Coturnix japonica: one gene and its partners. The protein of the gene in region 1 purifies or fractionates together with the protein of each later gene. This does not show direct contact. Links are inferred from orthologs where the notes say so. Each region holds a gene or a part of one and is shown in the gene's direction. Other genes may lie near its edges.

The links.
Region 2: the proteins of ARHGEF6 (region 1) and PAK2 purify together in Homo sapiens (affinity purification with mass spectrometry; 3 studies listed by BioGRID and IntAct, counting the BioPlex papers as one, with this or other methods). This does not show direct contact. The link is inferred for Coturnix japonica from reciprocal best matches to the Homo sapiens genes ARHGEF6 and PAK2.
Region 3: the proteins of ARHGEF6 (region 1) and GIT1 purify together in Homo sapiens (affinity purification with mass spectrometry; 3 studies listed by BioGRID and IntAct, counting the BioPlex papers as one, with this or other methods). This does not show direct contact. The link is inferred for Coturnix japonica from reciprocal best matches to the Homo sapiens genes ARHGEF6 and GIT1.
Region 4: the proteins of ARHGEF6 (region 1) and SLC9A3R2 purify together in Homo sapiens (affinity purification with mass spectrometry; 3 studies listed by BioGRID and IntAct, with this or other methods). This does not show direct contact. The link is inferred for Coturnix japonica from reciprocal best matches to the Homo sapiens genes ARHGEF6 and NHERF2.

What each region holds. Positions count from the first base shown.
Region 1 is NC_029519.1:4,235,980-4,238,672, reverse strand, and holds part of ARHGEF6 (rho guanine nucleotide exchange factor 6), read left to right. Parts: coding exon 1-41; intron 42-747; coding exon 748-847; intron 848-1,661; coding exon 1,662-1,716; intron 1,717-2,010; coding exon 2,011-2,151; 3' UTR 2,152-2,693. UniProt on the Homo sapiens protein: Acts as a RAC1 guanine nucleotide exchange factor (GEF).
Region 2 is NC_029524.1:3,532,152-3,536,176, reverse strand, and holds part of PAK2 (serine/threonine-protein kinase PAK 2), read left to right. Parts: intron 1-2,235; coding exon 2,236-2,432; intron 2,433-2,974; coding exon 2,975-3,112; intron 3,113-3,642; coding exon 3,643-3,729; 3' UTR 3,730-4,025. UniProt on the Homo sapiens protein: Serine/threonine protein kinase that plays a role in a variety of different signaling pathways including cytoskeleton regulation, cell motility, cell cycle progression, apoptosis or proliferation.
Region 3 is NC_029534.1:4,843,213-4,847,922, reverse strand, and holds the start of GIT1 (ARF GTPase-activating protein GIT1), read left to right. Parts: upstream 1-1,656; 5' UTR 1,657-1,768; coding exon 1,769-1,820; intron 1,821-3,995; coding exon 3,996-4,129; intron 4,130-4,201; coding exon 4,202-4,314; intron 4,315-4,401; coding exon 4,402-4,507; intron 4,508-4,586; coding exon 4,587-4,673; intron 4,674-4,710. Other genes in the region: ANKRD13B (ankyrin repeat domain-containing protein 13B), read right to left, coding at 11-121. UniProt on the Homo sapiens protein: GTPase-activating protein for ADP ribosylation factor family members, including ARF1.
Region 4 is NC_029529.1:6,209,536-6,213,560, forward strand, and holds part of SLC9A3R2 (Na(+)/H(+) exchange regulatory cofactor NHE-RF2), read left to right. Parts: intron 1-1,337; coding exon 1,338-1,491; intron 1,492-3,351; coding exon 3,352-3,395; intron 3,396-3,711; coding exon 3,712-3,774; intron 3,775-4,025.

The sequences.
Region 1 (2,693 bases):
GTACTGCACCGGGGCGGGCTTCCAGCAGGCACTCAGCTCAGGTGGGCACACAGCAGGTTCTTGAATGCTCCTCCTGCCTGTAGCGCTGATAACCCTCTGGGAAAAAAAACCCAGCTTGTTACATCAGTGAGCAGTGAGACTCATGTTAGGAAACTGTGTGGTGTTCAATCTTTGAGATAAGGGAGCTTCATCTGCTCAGTGGTTTAGTTGCCATTGTTTTTCTTCTAAACACAGAGAATGAGCAGATAGGAGGGCAGATGTGATGCAGCTACTTCACCAGCACTTGTTAGGAATTAAACAACCCTCGTCAGTGCCTGTGGCTGTCAGCACTGAAAACCTGATGCTAATCTCGGGTTGCATGTAGCTTTAGAAAGGAAGCATGAATATTATCTCTCCATCAGCTGCGTATTTAAAAACGAGCTGCTTCATAAGAACCTATCTACCATCTTCAACGCTGGAAATAAAAGTATTTATCACTGCTGGTAAGATGTCAAATTAAATCACTGAACTATCAAATTATGGCACGTTTGTGAAAGGGAGGTCGTGTTCTTCAGAGAGCTCCTGACCTTCCCCGAAGCACTTCATTTATAAGTAATGATGGAGCTGTGAGTGCTCTGGGTCTGGAAGCTGTCCCTCGCTGCTCTGGCCCAGCTGCACACCCAGCCCCTGCATCACCCTCCCAGCCCCTGCTGTGGGCTCCAGGAAAAATCTCCCTTTTTCTTCCTGATGAGCATTTCTTGCACACAGGCTCCCGAAAGGACTCCATCCCCCAAGTCCTTCTTCCCGAGGAGGAGAAAATCATCATTGAGGAAACGAGAAGCAATGGTCAGACTGTCACAGAGGAAAAGTAAGTGAGGCTGCAGACCCCTGGCCAGGCTGCTGCCTTATCCCAAGAGCACCAGGCTGTTCCAGTGGCTATTTTCTCCCTTTTTAAGTACAGTGCTGCATTCTCAGCAGTTCAGAGATAGCTGCGTCCCCCTGGGAGCCCACACAAAGGTCTTGAGAGCCAACATATATAGTCCCAGCTCTCCTCTGGGTGTAGTGAACTGGGTCAGGGAGGACAGATCCAAACAAGGGGCTTTGTTGTTTGTTTTTCTTTTCCATCTGCAGACACTGCGGTCTGCTGCTGCTCCTTGGAGCACTGCCCGAGTGCTCCCAGCCTGCTCCATACCTTCAGCATTGGGGTGGTGCTGTTGGCTCCCTCCTGTTCCCCAGGCAGCGCATTCTTTCTACGGTTACTTTTTGCAGCCCAGCCTGAAGGATTTGGGGCTGCTCTGTAAGATATACTTCAGTTTAAAAACCATTGTTATTATTTTTTGCAGCAGCATAAACAAGGAAGCCAAACCGCAGAGCTTGTTGATAACTTCGAGACAGCAAAGCAGGGTTGGTTTGGTTTGTTGGGGCTGCTGTGTTGCTGTCTTGAAGTTATCAACAAGCTGAATTTTTGGCTGATGTGCTCCTGGGCTGTGTTTCCAGAGTGACCTCAGCGACAGCAATGCTTATAATGGAGAGAAAGAAAATACAAAGGAAAGAGAAAAGCAGGAGATAGAAGCACCATTGCCTCAGTCACCAAGCTCCCGATGCTGTTGCTGTTTTACTGCATTTCAGCTCCTTATTTTTTCATTTAATTTCTGTTTTCTTGCATTTTTTTCTTATTGCAGGAGCCTCGTTGACACGGTTTATGCACTGAAAGATGAAGTGAAGGAACTGAAACAGGTAATTGCAGCTTCTGTCTGTGCTGTGAGATGGCCAGGCAATGTCCGGGAGAAATCTCACCTGGTCCCACCCTGTAGCTGCAGACACATTGCTGCTGCCATGCCCGTCTGTCAGTGTTGAGGGTCTGCTTGAACAAGTCAGACCCCAAATAGTTCACGTGGTTCATCTCCCAAACGGGCAGTGACCCTGGCACTTTGTCACAGTGACCCTGGTGCCTTGTCACCTTGTCACCTTGGCTTGTGGAGCGCATGGGTGTTAACCACCCCTTTCTCTCTATGTTTTTCTGCTTCATAGGAGAACAAAAGGATGAAGCAGTGTTTGGAGGAAGAGCTGAAGTCTCGGAAGGACCTGGAGAAGCTGGTGCGGCGGCTGCTGAAGCAGACAGATGAGTGCAGCAGGGAGGAGACGGGACGCAAGTCATCGCTGATTGCCTGAGCTCGAGGAGAAGCTGCTGGCAGTGTGACCTCAGGTGTATTTTGGGATGCAGAACTGGATCCTTTGCCTCTTCTTCCTCCTCATTTGGTTGGTTCGGGGAATTTTATTACCAAAAAAAGAAAAGAAAAAATATATATATTGTTTTTCTTCCATTTAATAAGGAAATGAAGCAAACAAGCAATCGACCACAACTCAAGCAGTCAGCGAGCGGTCCGTGATTCACAATCCATCTGCAGCAGCTGATACCTCATAGGAGCAAACCCAGCCTGTGCCAGTGACTGCCGCTCACAGAGGGTCTGGCAGCAGTTTCCCATCACTTCTTGATGCTTCCATTCTCTTCAAAAGCACCTGTCCCTATTTATTGAATGAAAGCACGATTGAGTTGGCAATGAGCAGAAACCAAAAAGCACCGTGCTCTTTTTTTCAGATAATCACGACTGGGGAAGCTATTCCCATCACTTTCTTCTTCCCCATTAATTGACTGTAGTGAATTACAGCCCAGCAATACTGCGGGTCCTGTGTGGCCTCGATACTGATTAAAA
Region 2 (4,025 bases), on another chromosome or scaffold:
TTGCAGTTCAGTCTTACACCTGTACTGGGTCTCCTTTTCTTGGACTGAAAGTATAATACAATCTAATTAATAAAATAATGAAATGACTAAAGAAAGTGCTTACTTTTCAGGTAATTGTTATGCATGCGTGAGCTTGTCTTCAGTAAGTCAGTTTCTGGTGTGTGTAAATGTGGCAGAAAAAAGAACATTGAAACTACATGGAGTAGCTGACAGGAATGCTGAGAGGTGCATGATCTGACTTCTTGCTGTGCAGGAATATACACAGCATTAAACTGCTGAAAACTTAAGGGATGGATTTGAATAAGAATTTGAAATGCCATGAAAACACATCTCAGCAGTATTCCTTACTCAGATGGTTTATAGTCTCATGTTGGTCACGAGCTGGAGCATGAGGGAAGATTACGAGCAGCCTGGCTTGCTTAGCAGTGTTGTTGGATGCTCTGTTCTCTTGTGTAGGAGTTTGTTTAAAGGAGTTGTGTGTTTGTGAACAAACAGAATGGATTCAGAAACCAAAGGGAATGATCACAGTAGAGTCACCTGGGGAGGGCTCGAAAATAAGAGCTGTCAATTTAAAGGAGCGTGGTGAAAGGGCAGGGCAGCAGCCTGTGGGGGAAAGCACTGCCCCTGGGGAGGCTGTGCAAAGATGATGGGGAGGGAGACTGGATACAGCAGGAGTTAGCTCTGAAATTGTGCTGTGTGAAGGGGAGGTGCTGTGCTTGTGCTAAGGCGAGCCCTCCAGCTGTGTTTGTAGAGCTTCTACCAGCTGTTCAGGTGGAGGGTGGAAGTTGCACCTACTTCAAGCTCTTCCCTTTCTGGAGGAGTCTGCAGCAGGAAGAGACACCAGTCTGTCTGCTTGACTGGTGCCTGAGCCCTGGAAGGGCTGTCCAGCATTTAGGTGATGATGAGATAACATCTTGTGGAAGGAGGCAGCAGCTAGCAGAAGCTTTAAAAGCACACGTCCTGCCCAGAAAAGTGGTTACTGTAAAGCTGCCCTCACTACTAATGCCTGCACATTCTTACCGGCTAAACTGGGATCTGCACCTTGCCTGTCTTTCCTATCCTGGCTGGTTGGGATGGTGCTGAAGGCCCTGCTGATTGCAGAAGACATAAACTGCTGCTGTGTCTCTGGTGTGTTTGTTGAAATGGGCTGTGTGTGTTGAATTGGGTCTGATAGCTGCCAAGAGGCCTGACTGAAGAGATGCTGGTGAGGAACTCAGTCGCTTCTGTAGCGTTGTTTTTTTTCTTTTTTTTTTGTGTGGTTTTTGTGATGGTTTTTTTTTTTTCTCCTTTTCCGGGCAGCACTTTGACAGTGGGTGTGGGATAGTTGTTAATTAACCTGTCCTCTTAGTACAGCTTAGCATTTCAGAACTGTGGCTCTTTTGTTGGTACTGCTTGGCTTAACACTTCAAAATTGATTCGAAATTTAAAATTCTCTCTCTTTCTCTCTCTCTTTCTCTCTTAAACTTAGTGTCAATAATAAAGTAAAATCTTCTTCCTGCCTTAACTGTGTTCTTATTGATGCTTTACATGCCTGGGAAGTGGGAGTGCTGCAGCTGGATAAAGTAACATGATGGAACATGCATTGCTGCTGCACCTGAAGGCTATAGGAATAGGTGACTTTTCTTGTTTTCTTGAGTGTGGTTGTTCTCTTCAAGTAGTTACTTTGTGGAAAGGTTTGCTTGTCCAGGCTCCTTCCTCTGAGTTTCCATATCTCTGTCAGCTGTAGTACCTGTATTTGTTGACCAAATTGCTGTGAAACGCTGAACTCAATGGCTGCAGAACTGACATCTGTTTAGCAGAGTAGAATCCATGCTTTGTAGATGGACCTTTTTTAGCTCAGGCAGTACACACCATGCACAGAAGAGTTGCCTTTGCTGTTCTGCTTCATTTTTTCTTTTTTTTTTTGGCTGGTATCAGTCTAGGAATATTGAAGGAAGCACTGGGCAAAATACCACTCTTGCACAGGGTAATACTTATGTCCCCTTTTGAGAGGACAGAAAGCCTTACCTTTCCCACGTAAGCCTGCCCTGCTTAAACATCTTAAGGTTTTATGCGTGTATTGCACATTGTAGTTTGTAATATGGAGAATATGGTGGGGAGAAGAAATGTTCCCCCTCCATCAGAAGCCCCTCGAGTGTGGAGGAGTAACGTATGTGTGTAGTAATAGAGAAGACTAAGAAGTCCACTTCCATGGGATGCACCAAGGTAACTTCTTTAAATTCTGTTATCCTACAGCCGACTTTGGTTTCTGTGCTCAGATCACCCCAGAGCAGAGCAAGCGCAGCACTATGGTTGGAACTCCTTACTGGATGGCTCCTGAAGTCGTCACACGGAAAGCCTATGGCCCTAAAGTGGATATCTGGTCTCTAGGCATCATGGCTATTGAGATGGTGGAAGGAGAACCCCCGTACCTCAATGAAAACCCCCTGAGGGTAAGAAATGCAGATATAGCTGTTTATGGGTGTTTATCAGGTGAATGTTCTCAGCGGGTTCAGTGTGATTCTTGATAGCATCTACCTTAAAAAGAAAGCCCACAGACACTACCCTTCAGTAGTGCAAGGAAATGCCATCCAAAAGGATGACAGCTGTCTTGAATTTGCACTTTGTTCAGAATAAATGTGCAGATTGTACCTTCATGTAACTGAAACCTTAGACTTTGAATTCCATCTTCTACCTTAGTTTAGGAAAGGTAAATCCATTAGGTTATGAAACATGCTGCTTTGTCAGTCTGGTACTTTCTTTTGGGTGTATCTCTTGAGTAACTGTTGCCAAAAGATTTAGGAGGTTATTTTACTAGTAGCAAGAATGAATTGCAACTTCCTTTAAGTGGCATTCTTAGCATTTTTCATCTCATCAAGGAGAGGCAAGGTAGGCTGCAGGCTCTAACTCATCTAGACAGAGATATTGTCTCTAGGCTGGTAGGTTGTCATCTTATAAGGGCTTGAGCTGGTTGTACAACATTCTCATTTTACAGGCGTTATATTTGATAGCAACTAACGGCACACCAGAGCTTCAGAACCCTGAGAAACTGTCCCCAATATTCAGGGATTTCTTAAACCGATGTTTGGAGATGGATGTTGAGAAAAGAGGATCAGCCAAAGAATTGCTACAGGTAAGAGTCAGCTTCTCTTAGAGTCTGAGAAACAGAGGCCACTTCTAAGGTAAGCGTGTTTTAAAAGGCACTGCAGACTAACACACCCTTCTGTTTTGTGTTTTCCTCTGAGTAAAGAGGAAAGGACTTCAGGGGAGAGTAAGTTGGGAGGAACCACAGTCATCAAGGGTTGTACTGGGTGTTCTGAAGTCTTTCTGGCAGTAATCTGCACCATCATTCTGCCACGTTATCTAACAAGTGGTGATTTACTGTAGTAGAGCCTTTAAAGTGAGCAGAAAAGGACTGAGAGAAGACATTTGAGCAGGAAACCTCTTCCTGAAAAGCAAAAGGCTGATACTGTTTTAGGAAGGGGGGGATGATGAGCAGGCTGTGAGTGCCATCAGCCACTCAGTCTGTTCCTTCAGAAGCACTGATAATATTTGCACTACTTTCTGTATCTCAGGATGGGAAGAGCTGTATGAATATGTGCCTTACACTGGCTTTTTTAAACCATCTTTTACTAATTTACTGTGTTTCTCTCATCCTGGCAGCATCCCTTCTTGAAACTGGCCAAACCTTTGTCTAGCTTGACGCCACTGATCCTGGCAGCCAAAGAAGCAATGAAGAGTAACCGCTAACATTAATGCCACGGCCTACATTTGTTTTTGTTATTATTATTTTATTTTTTTTTTTACAAATCTTTTTAATATATGAAATTGTTACACTTCTGGTGGGAGGGAAGAGATTTGGGGGTGGGGTGGGGGGGGAACATCTGCAAAAGGGAAGCAGCTCTCATCCAGAAGACACCTGACATAAATTGTGGCGGATCTAATGATCCCTTTCTGGGGTCCAGAAGGAATTGAGGACTGAAATACTGGCTTTTTTTCTTTTTTTTTTTTTTCCTATATATATTTTTTTTTCTTCCTCCAGACAG
Region 3 (4,710 bases), on another chromosome or scaffold:
GCCGCCCCACCTGCTTGGCGCTGAGCTCCCGGTCCAGCTCCCGGGCTCGGTTGTGCCAGACGAGGTAATGCAGCGGGTATCTGCCCTCCGGCCCCTTCCTGCCCGAGCAAGACGCGAGCATCCTCCGTTCATGCTGGAGCGGCGGAGCGGGGCGCGGGGCGGAGCGGGGCGCGGGGCGGGGCGGAACGGGGCGCGGAGCGGGGCGGGGCGGTGGGGGGGGGGGGGTGGGTGGGAGCCGCCCGGACGGTCCCCCCCGCATCTTCCCCCCGCACCGCCCGGCCTCATGGGACTTGTAGTCACTGAGCGCGGCGTCGCCCCTTCCTCCTCCTCCTCCTCCTCCTCCTCCTTTTCCTCCCCGCACCCCCCGCCGGCCCTATGCCCCCCCCCATTGTATGGGGCTGTTCGGGGACGGCTCCGCAGCGCCCGAAGGCACAACCTGAATTCTTATCGCACCCCCCCGCTCTCCCCACCCACGGGCGCTCAACACGCAGCAGCGCGACCCCCGCGATGAGCCCGTGGGGTGCCGACCCCCCCCCGGCCCCATTTCCCTTTCCGCCCCCGTCCCTCCGCTCGTGTTTTCCGGCAGCCGCCAGAGAACAATGCGAGGTTGGGCCCCACGGCTGCCCCCCCCCCACCCTCCGACCCCTCCCCACGCCCCTATGGGGTTCCCGCGGGGTCACCCCGCTCCTTCCCCGCCCCTATGGTGGGCTGTGGCCGTGACGACCCCCCCCCAAAGGTCCCGCTGTCCCGTGACGTCACGGCCATGCAGCGGTGAGCTCAGCGCCGGGCGGGTGCAGCGTGACACGGCGCTGTGCCCCCAGCCCCGGGCGCTGATCGGGGTCCCCCGGGCTGGGGGTGGCGCCCCCCGACCCCATCTGACAACGGCACAGAGATGGGCACCCCCAGTATCAAACCCCCCCACACACACTATGCCAGGTTCAGCCATCGTGGGGGTGGGGGTCGGGGTGATTTGGGGCCTCGGGGGTGCGGGTGCAGGATGGGACCCTGGGCTGGGAATGGGGCTGGGGGCAGGGCCGGGGAGTGCATGGAATCAGAACCGGGACATGGGCTGGGTCAGAACCTGGAACGGGACACGGACCAAGGCTAAAACCAGAACCAATGGATGCCTAGAATGAGACCAACTCAGAACCAGGACCAAAATGAGAACCAGGCCCGGGTCCAGAGGATGCCCAGGATCCGGATCACTATCAGGACAAGAACCAGGGGTTGTCCAGGACAAAACCGGGACCAGGACAAGGTCCAAGACTAACCCAGGACCAAGACCAGGAGCAGGGAATACCCAAAAGCAGGACCAGAACAGAGGCAGGGAATGCCCAGGAACAGAACCAGGATGGGGACAAGAACAAGGAGACGCACAGAATCAGGACTAGAACCGGGACCAGAACCAGAGGATGACAGAGCCGGGATGAGGACGAGAACCAGCACCAGGACGGGCCCCGATCCGCCCCAAAGGGCCGCAGCTCCATCACCCGCTGCTGCTCAGGGCGCGCCGTGACTGCGCTGCGCTGCGCTGCGCTGCGCGGGGCGGGGGCGGTTCTGCTCCTCCTCCGCCGGGGCCGGGCCTGAGCCGCTTCCTGCGGAGCCGCCGGGGCTGCGAGCAGCCGGCAGGGCAGGCGGCAGGAGGGCGAGGCGGCCCCGAGCCCCGCCGCCCCCCCCCGACCCCTCCCCAACCCGACCCCCCCATCCCCCCCTTCCCCGGCCCCGCTCCGCGCTGGCGCAGAGACCCGGGCCCGGCTCGGCGCTGAGGATGTCCCGGAAGGCGCAGCGGGCGGAGGTGTGCGCGGACTGCAGTGCCGCAGGTAGGGAAGGGCCGCGCCCGGCCCCGTCGGCGTTATCCCCCCCCGACCCTCCTCCACGCGGGGCCGTTCGCAGTTCGGTTGTGCGTGTGCCTCCATCCCCTCCCCCCCAGCATCAGCACCTGGATGACGCCCCCCTCCCCCTTTGCTCTGGACCCCGCTGCCCCGCTCTGAACCCCCAGCTTTGTACCCGCGATACCCCGGTGCCTCCCTCCCCCCCCCGCACCCCCTATTTACCCCAGGGGTCCCAGTGACCCCCACCCTTCCTTCACACCCCGTGCTGAGACCCCAGGAGCCCAGGGTTCCCCCTGCATACCCTGCCGACTCCCTCTTTGCCCACAGCAACCCCACAACGTGCCCTAAATAAACCCCCCCCCCGTTCCCCCTGCAACCCTCGGTGCACCCCATTCCCCATCCCTTTGTACCCCTACTTTCCCTCTCGGCACCCAGCACTGTGCCCCCCGGTGCCCCTGTTCTGCACCCAGGAACCCTACAGTGAGCCCTAAAATGCCCCCTGTGCCCCCCAGACCCCTTGTTCTATCTCTTACAGCCCCTTGTTGCCCCCCATTACCCCCCACTCTTCACCCCCTACTTTACCCCCGGGTTCCCCTTTTACACCCCGCACTGGGAATCCCCGCTGCACCCCATTATCTCTATAACATACCCTAAAGATGGCTCCCCCCCCATATTGTGACCCCCAGACCCATCCCTGCGGCGCTGGGGGCAATGAATGAACGTTGAAAGCGGCTCAGAGCCCTGAGGATGGCGGCCACGTGCATGGGGGGCTGCGGGGTCACCCACTGCTGTGGGTCAGCCCCTGTTATAAGGTACCCGGCGGTGCCGAGGTTCCTATGGGGGAAATGGAAAGCTTTTTCTCCCAATCCCTTATCGCCCGGCGGCCATGGGAGGAAATGAGTTATAAAGTCCAGAGGCCGCTTCCGACATCGCGGGGCCGGGAGCAGCCGGTGTCGGGATGTGCGGGGTGCCCGGCTCCGGCATCGCCCCCGCGGCGCAGGGATGGAGTTTCCCATTGCTCCGGGTTATGGGGTAGCACCGTTCTGCTGTGCCCTCAGCCGCCCCGATCCCAATGAAGGAGGAAGGGGTGGCACTGCGAGGTGCTGTATGGGGTGCTGTATGGGGTCCTATATGGGATCCTATATGGGGTGCTATATGAGGTGCTATATGGGGTGCTATATGGGGTGCCCCCCCCCCGGCACGCAGCATCCTGTTCCCGGCAGCGCCCCGTGGGCCGCGGTGCGGAGGCGCAGATGCGGCGGTGCTGCTGCCAAGCGCTGCCATCTGCCCGGGCGGTGCTGCCAGGATTTGGGGGGGGGGACGACGACAACACTGCCTTGTGGCCGCTGCCGGCTGTGCCCCCCATATTAGAGGGGTCGGGGCTGCCTGGTGTGGGGCAGCAGTGGGGTTTTGGGGAGGGGGTGGGAAGGAAGCGCCGCACTGGGTGATGGGGGTGGGTCGCTGGTGGTGCTGCTGCCCCCTCCCACCCGCAGCCCTTCCTCCCGTGGGGCGGCGCGGTGTTTGTGTAGGCCCTATAGATGCACAACACTCCTCTGCTATGGCACAGGGACGCTGGGGACCGTATGGCCCACCCTGCCCCTGCCCCCTGTGGAGGGGGGGGTGGCACCCCATCTGTCCCCCATCCCTTCTGTTGGTGCCGGGGGATCTGGACCCATTGGGGTGCTGGCTGTGGGGAGCTGCCCCCAAAGAACGGTGGGGCCCCCGTGGCTGGAGCGGGGCCGGTGCCAGCACAGTGCTCAAACGTCCCTTTGTTCTCCTGGGGACACAAAGGGCTCCAGTGCGGCCGAGCGGGGCCGGGCAGGGGGCGTGGGGCTGCTGGGGGGGGCACAGCCACTGAGTCCGTGATGGCTGAGTGGGTGGGAGGGCACCCACCTGTATGGGGACACCCGCAGCACAGGGGACACAGCATCGGCACGTAAGGGTGTATTGCACAGTGCTGGCATCGCCCCCGCTGCTGTCAGCCCTTCTGATGAGGGGGCCAAATCCTGCCCCCCCCCCTTGGTTGCTAAGGGAACCCTTTGGGTTTCCCCTGGCGATGGGCTGAGCCCCTCTCCGTCACCCTGGAAACCGCCATGTTGCTACGGTGACGCTGCCCCCCCCCACACACAGCCCCCCCTACATAACACCCCACGCCCCCTGCAGACCCGGGCTGGGCCTCCATCAACCGCGGTGTGCTCATCTGCGACGAGTGCTGCAGCGTGCACCGCAGCCTGGGCCGCCACATCTCCATCGTCAAGCACCTGCGGCACAGCCCCTGGCCCGCCACGCTGCTGCAGGTGGGTGCACCCGGGGGGGGAGGTTACAAGGGGGGTGTCCCATCGGCTCACTGTGCCCCCCCCCATGCATAGATGGTGCACACCTTGGCCAGCAATGGGGCCAACTCCATCTGGGAGCACTCGCTGCTGGACCCGGCGCAGGTGCAGAGCGGGCGCAGGAAGGCAAATCCCCAGGATAAAGTGCAGTAAGTGAGGGCTGTGTGTGGGGATGGGGCTGTGGGGATGGGGGGAGCTGTGGTGGATGTCCCCCCCCCCTCACCCTGTGTCTCCAGCCCCACCAAGTCAGAGTTCATCCGCGCCAAGTACCAGATGTTGGCCTTCGTGCACAAGCTGCCGTGCCGGGATGATGATGGTGTCACCGCCAAGGACCTCAGCAAGGTGGGGGCACGGTGTGATGGGGACCCCCCCTTGGTGCTGCTGACACTCCTGGCACTGACTGCTGCCTCTCCCCCTGCAGCAATTGCACTCCAGCGTGCGGACGGGCAACCTGGAGACGTGTCTGCGGCTGCTCTCACTGGGGGCTCAGGCCAATTTCTTCCACCCGGTGAGCTCTGGGGGGGGCAGACAGCCCGGGGGGGGGG
Region 4 (4,025 bases), on another chromosome or scaffold:
TACCAACATGAATCCTCCTGGAAATGAGGAGCTGGAGTGCAGAAGGGATGTGATGCTCAGCTGGGAAGCGTGATGCTGAATCCAGGCCCAGTCCTGTGCCCTTTTCCATCAGATCCATCATACTGCTGGGCAGGAGTTTGGAGCCAGGGGAAACGCTTGGCAGAGAGATCTTAAAGCATAGGATTGTGAAAGATGGGGGGAGAAACCACTCTTGGAAGCGATTTTGCTTAATGCCGAACAACAGAATTCTTGATGTTGCACAGAATCACCCTCGCCTTGTTTGTCTCTTGGTGTTTTTACTGAAGAATGAGTTCCCCCATTTAAAGCAGCACAGACAGATGGACAGACATTACTTGTTTCCCAGCTGGGCTCCACACCATACCCCAGCCTGGCTCTGCCCTGGCACTGTGGCAGTGTAATGCTGGGGCTGGGACACCCATGGCTGCGGTTCATGGCAGCGAGGTGTTTTGTTATTTATTTATCATCCATTGGCCAAGTGCCCGGCATGCACAAAGCAGCGAGGGGTGAGCTGGAGAGCTCAGAAACCTGATCCCCCCCCTGCTCCAGCTCTTTGGGGCTCTGATAAATAATTGATGTTCCCAGCCCTGCTGTACCAGTGTTGGGGTGGGAGAGCAGGGCAGTCCCCTTTGGGGTCTCCCTATGGGTCAGGGTGAGTCCTGGGGCAGGACTGGGGTAATATTGGGGTGACATTGGGGTGATGTTGGGGTGACATTGGGGTGACATTGGGGTGACTATGGGGTGATGGTGGGGATGGAGCATGGCTACAAGCCAGGCTGGCTCCTTGGGACTGTGTCTCCTACAGGGTCTGCGCCAGCCCCAGGCAATGGGTGTGTTCATTTCTGAGCACAAACAATGCCTAGAAATCACAATTGTTCCCTTTCTGCCTGGGAGGAGAAATCTCATCTGCTGGTGGCTCCCAGGTCGCGTGCGATGAAGGGAAAATGAGTCAGCACGTCAGGGACAGACAAGCACTGTGCTCTGCCTGGCTGCTGGGACAAGGGATATCCTCCCTCATCCCTTATTGGGGATGAGCTCAGGCAGGATGAGGTTTTGGGGGCAAACTGAAGATGAATACTGGGCTTGAAGTTGCTAGAGGGGAACCAATGTGGTCCTGAGCACTCATGTAGTTTAGGAGGTGGCAGAGTTTGGGGGTCCGGTGGAATTCAGGAATTAGAGCCATAGAATCCTTTGAGTTGGAATGGACCTTTAAAGGTCATTTGGCCAACTCCCTGTAATGGACAGATGGAGCTTGTGCAGAGGTTTTTTTGGGTGTCAGAGATGTCTCTGCTGCAGTCCAACACTGCTGTTTTTTGCAGGTAAACGGAATAAATGTGGAGGGGCTGCGGCACTCAGAAGTGGTGTCCCATATCAAAGCCAGAGAGAGCGAAGCCAGGTTGTTGGTGGTGGACCCTGAGACAGATGAGTACTTCAAAAAGCTGGGGGTGACCCCCACGGAGGAGCACACCAAAGGTGAGAGCCTGGTTCTGCCCCTGTGACTCACCAGGACAAGGGTGGGATTTCAGGAGTGACAGAGTCATGTTTCCCTTGTCTCATCCCTGAGCGGTTTCCTGAGCACCACCCAGCTATTTATAAACAGTGAGAATACTCCCAGCCACAAAACAACTCATTATTTTTACACCGTGAATAATTAACATAGGGACTGGCTGCCAGAAGGCGGCTGTGGGGTGACGATGCTGCGTGGGATGTGTCGATGGGTGCAGCAGCACTTGGTGCAAGTGGTCCAGCTGTGGGGATGCTTTGGTGGCACAACCCAGGGCTGCTCGGTGTCTGGGAGCAGAGCACTGCTGTGGGGCTGCAGGGCGTGATGACCCTTGGCAAAGGAGCCTGAGGGCGCAGAGAGAAGTAAGAACAGCCCCCATGTGCACACGCAGAGATGAGCTTCACACAGCAGCGATCACAGATGTCCGCTGCAGGGAATGTTTCCCTTGCTGCTGGAACCTGGCAGGGAAAGTAGTCTGTCCACTCCACACCCTGTCACCATCCGACCCGAGCTCAGTCAGGTGCTCCGTGGGAAGATTGGTCCAGAGAAATTGAGTCAAAGAGTTCTGAGGGCTGAGAGCGGTGTCAGATGCTCCAAGTGGGCTCAAAGAGGAGCGGTGTGAGCCCGGTCTGCTGGCACAGGCACAAAGGAGCCCTTGTTCCCAGCAGCAGGGACACAGCCAGGGCCATGCGTGTGGGTGTGTGAGTGCTGGGCGCTGGCTCCTTGCTCCCTGCACCAGGAGGATGGGGGTTTAGTGAGGTAGGAGTTGGCCTCTTCTCTCAGGTAACAGCGATAGGATGAGAGGTGATGGCACTGTGTTATGCCAAGGGAGGTTCAGGCTGGATACTGGGGGACATTTCTTCTCTGAAAGGGTGCTCAGGAACTGGCACTGTTGCCCAGGGAGTGGTGGGGTCACTGTCTCTGAAGGTGATAAGAACTATGGAGATGTGGCACTGAGGGACATGGTCAGTAGGTAGGGTGGGATGGAGTGGGGGTTGGCTTAGTGATCTTGGAGGTCTTTTCCAACCTTATTGATGCTGTGATGCACAATGGCTGCAGAGCTGTAAGTTAGAAGCCCTGGGCTGCTGCAGTTACAAGCTGCTCTTGCTTCACTGGGTACAGTGTTGCACAATGAGCACACAGTGTTGTTCTCTGCTTGGCTGCTGTAGGCTGGGGGCTGCTCAGGGGTCCCACTGGGGTGACGGAGGGGCACAGAATGGGGTCTGTGCCCCCAGGAAGTCTTTGTGCTAAGTATAATTCAGTCACTAGCCCTGTCACAACTGGCACATCTGTAGCACCGTGTCTCATCTGTCCCAGGCTGCCTTGAGCAGTGACTTGGTTGTGGGAACTAGCAGCCCATCTGCATTGAATTTGCCATTGTATGGAGGATTACTAACACAAATTATTGGAAGTGGGCAACAATGTGCCAAGGTCCATGAAAGGCAGCGGGTTGCTTGCTACATGCTATTGCAACACCAACAAGTTGCTGATTTCAGCAAAGAATGTTGGGCTGGTCTGTAAGATTTCCGATTAAACAATTCCCAGGAAAAATGGTTTCGCTGTCAAAAACAGGAGTGCACTGAATGCAGAGCTTAGGGAGGGAAGTGGTTTAGTACCCCTGCTGGAAGGGGCTTTCTCCTGATGAAAGCAGCAATTGAATGAGGTTGGGATTGCGGTTCTGGGGGGCACACACTGGGTCTGGCTGCATCTCTGGGGTAGGGGGCACATGGGGCTTCTGGGGCCTTGTTGGGACTGCAGCCCCTGTGATGGAGCCCAGCCCGGCCGTCCCCATGAGTGCACTCACTCTGTTTCCTCTGCCTGGTCCGCAGGTGTGGTGCCTCAGCCCATGACGAATGGATCTGCACAGATGCAGGTGAGTCCCCACCTGCTCCCAGGTTGCCTCAAAGCAGAGGGAACCTCCTAGCCTTGCTGAGGCTCATTGAGCTCAATTAACTGCTGCTGGCTAATTAGAATTGCTTCCTGCTGTAGCTATAATTTCAGGCTTGCACAAGACTGGGCTCAGCCCCATTTGTGCCTTTTCACCAGGAGTAGCACCCTGCATGTACCATTGTCCCTGCAGGCATAGGGTGCTGCACTGGGACTGGCTGTGATGTTTGTCCCCATGTGGTTATTGGGTTTTATTGTTTCTGCCCCCACACAACCTGAGCTAATGTTTCTGTTTCCCACAGCTGAATGGAGGTTCCACATCTTCATCTCACAGTGACCTTCAAAGTCCTGGGAAGGAATCCGAGGTAAAAACCCCAAACACGTGCTGCCTTCTTTTCACATATGTATGTACATGTTTATGCCACGGTACTGTGTAAAATCATATTTGCATGCAATTTCAGTTTCAAATTGAAGGCTTAGGTACACCTGCATCCACCCAGCAATCAATACAGGGAGTTTTCTGTCATGCCCTGCCCTATAAATCCATGTGAGGTGCATTCCTTCCCCTTCACCAGGGATGAAGGTGTGTGGTGCCACATGGCTGTGCTGCCAGCAG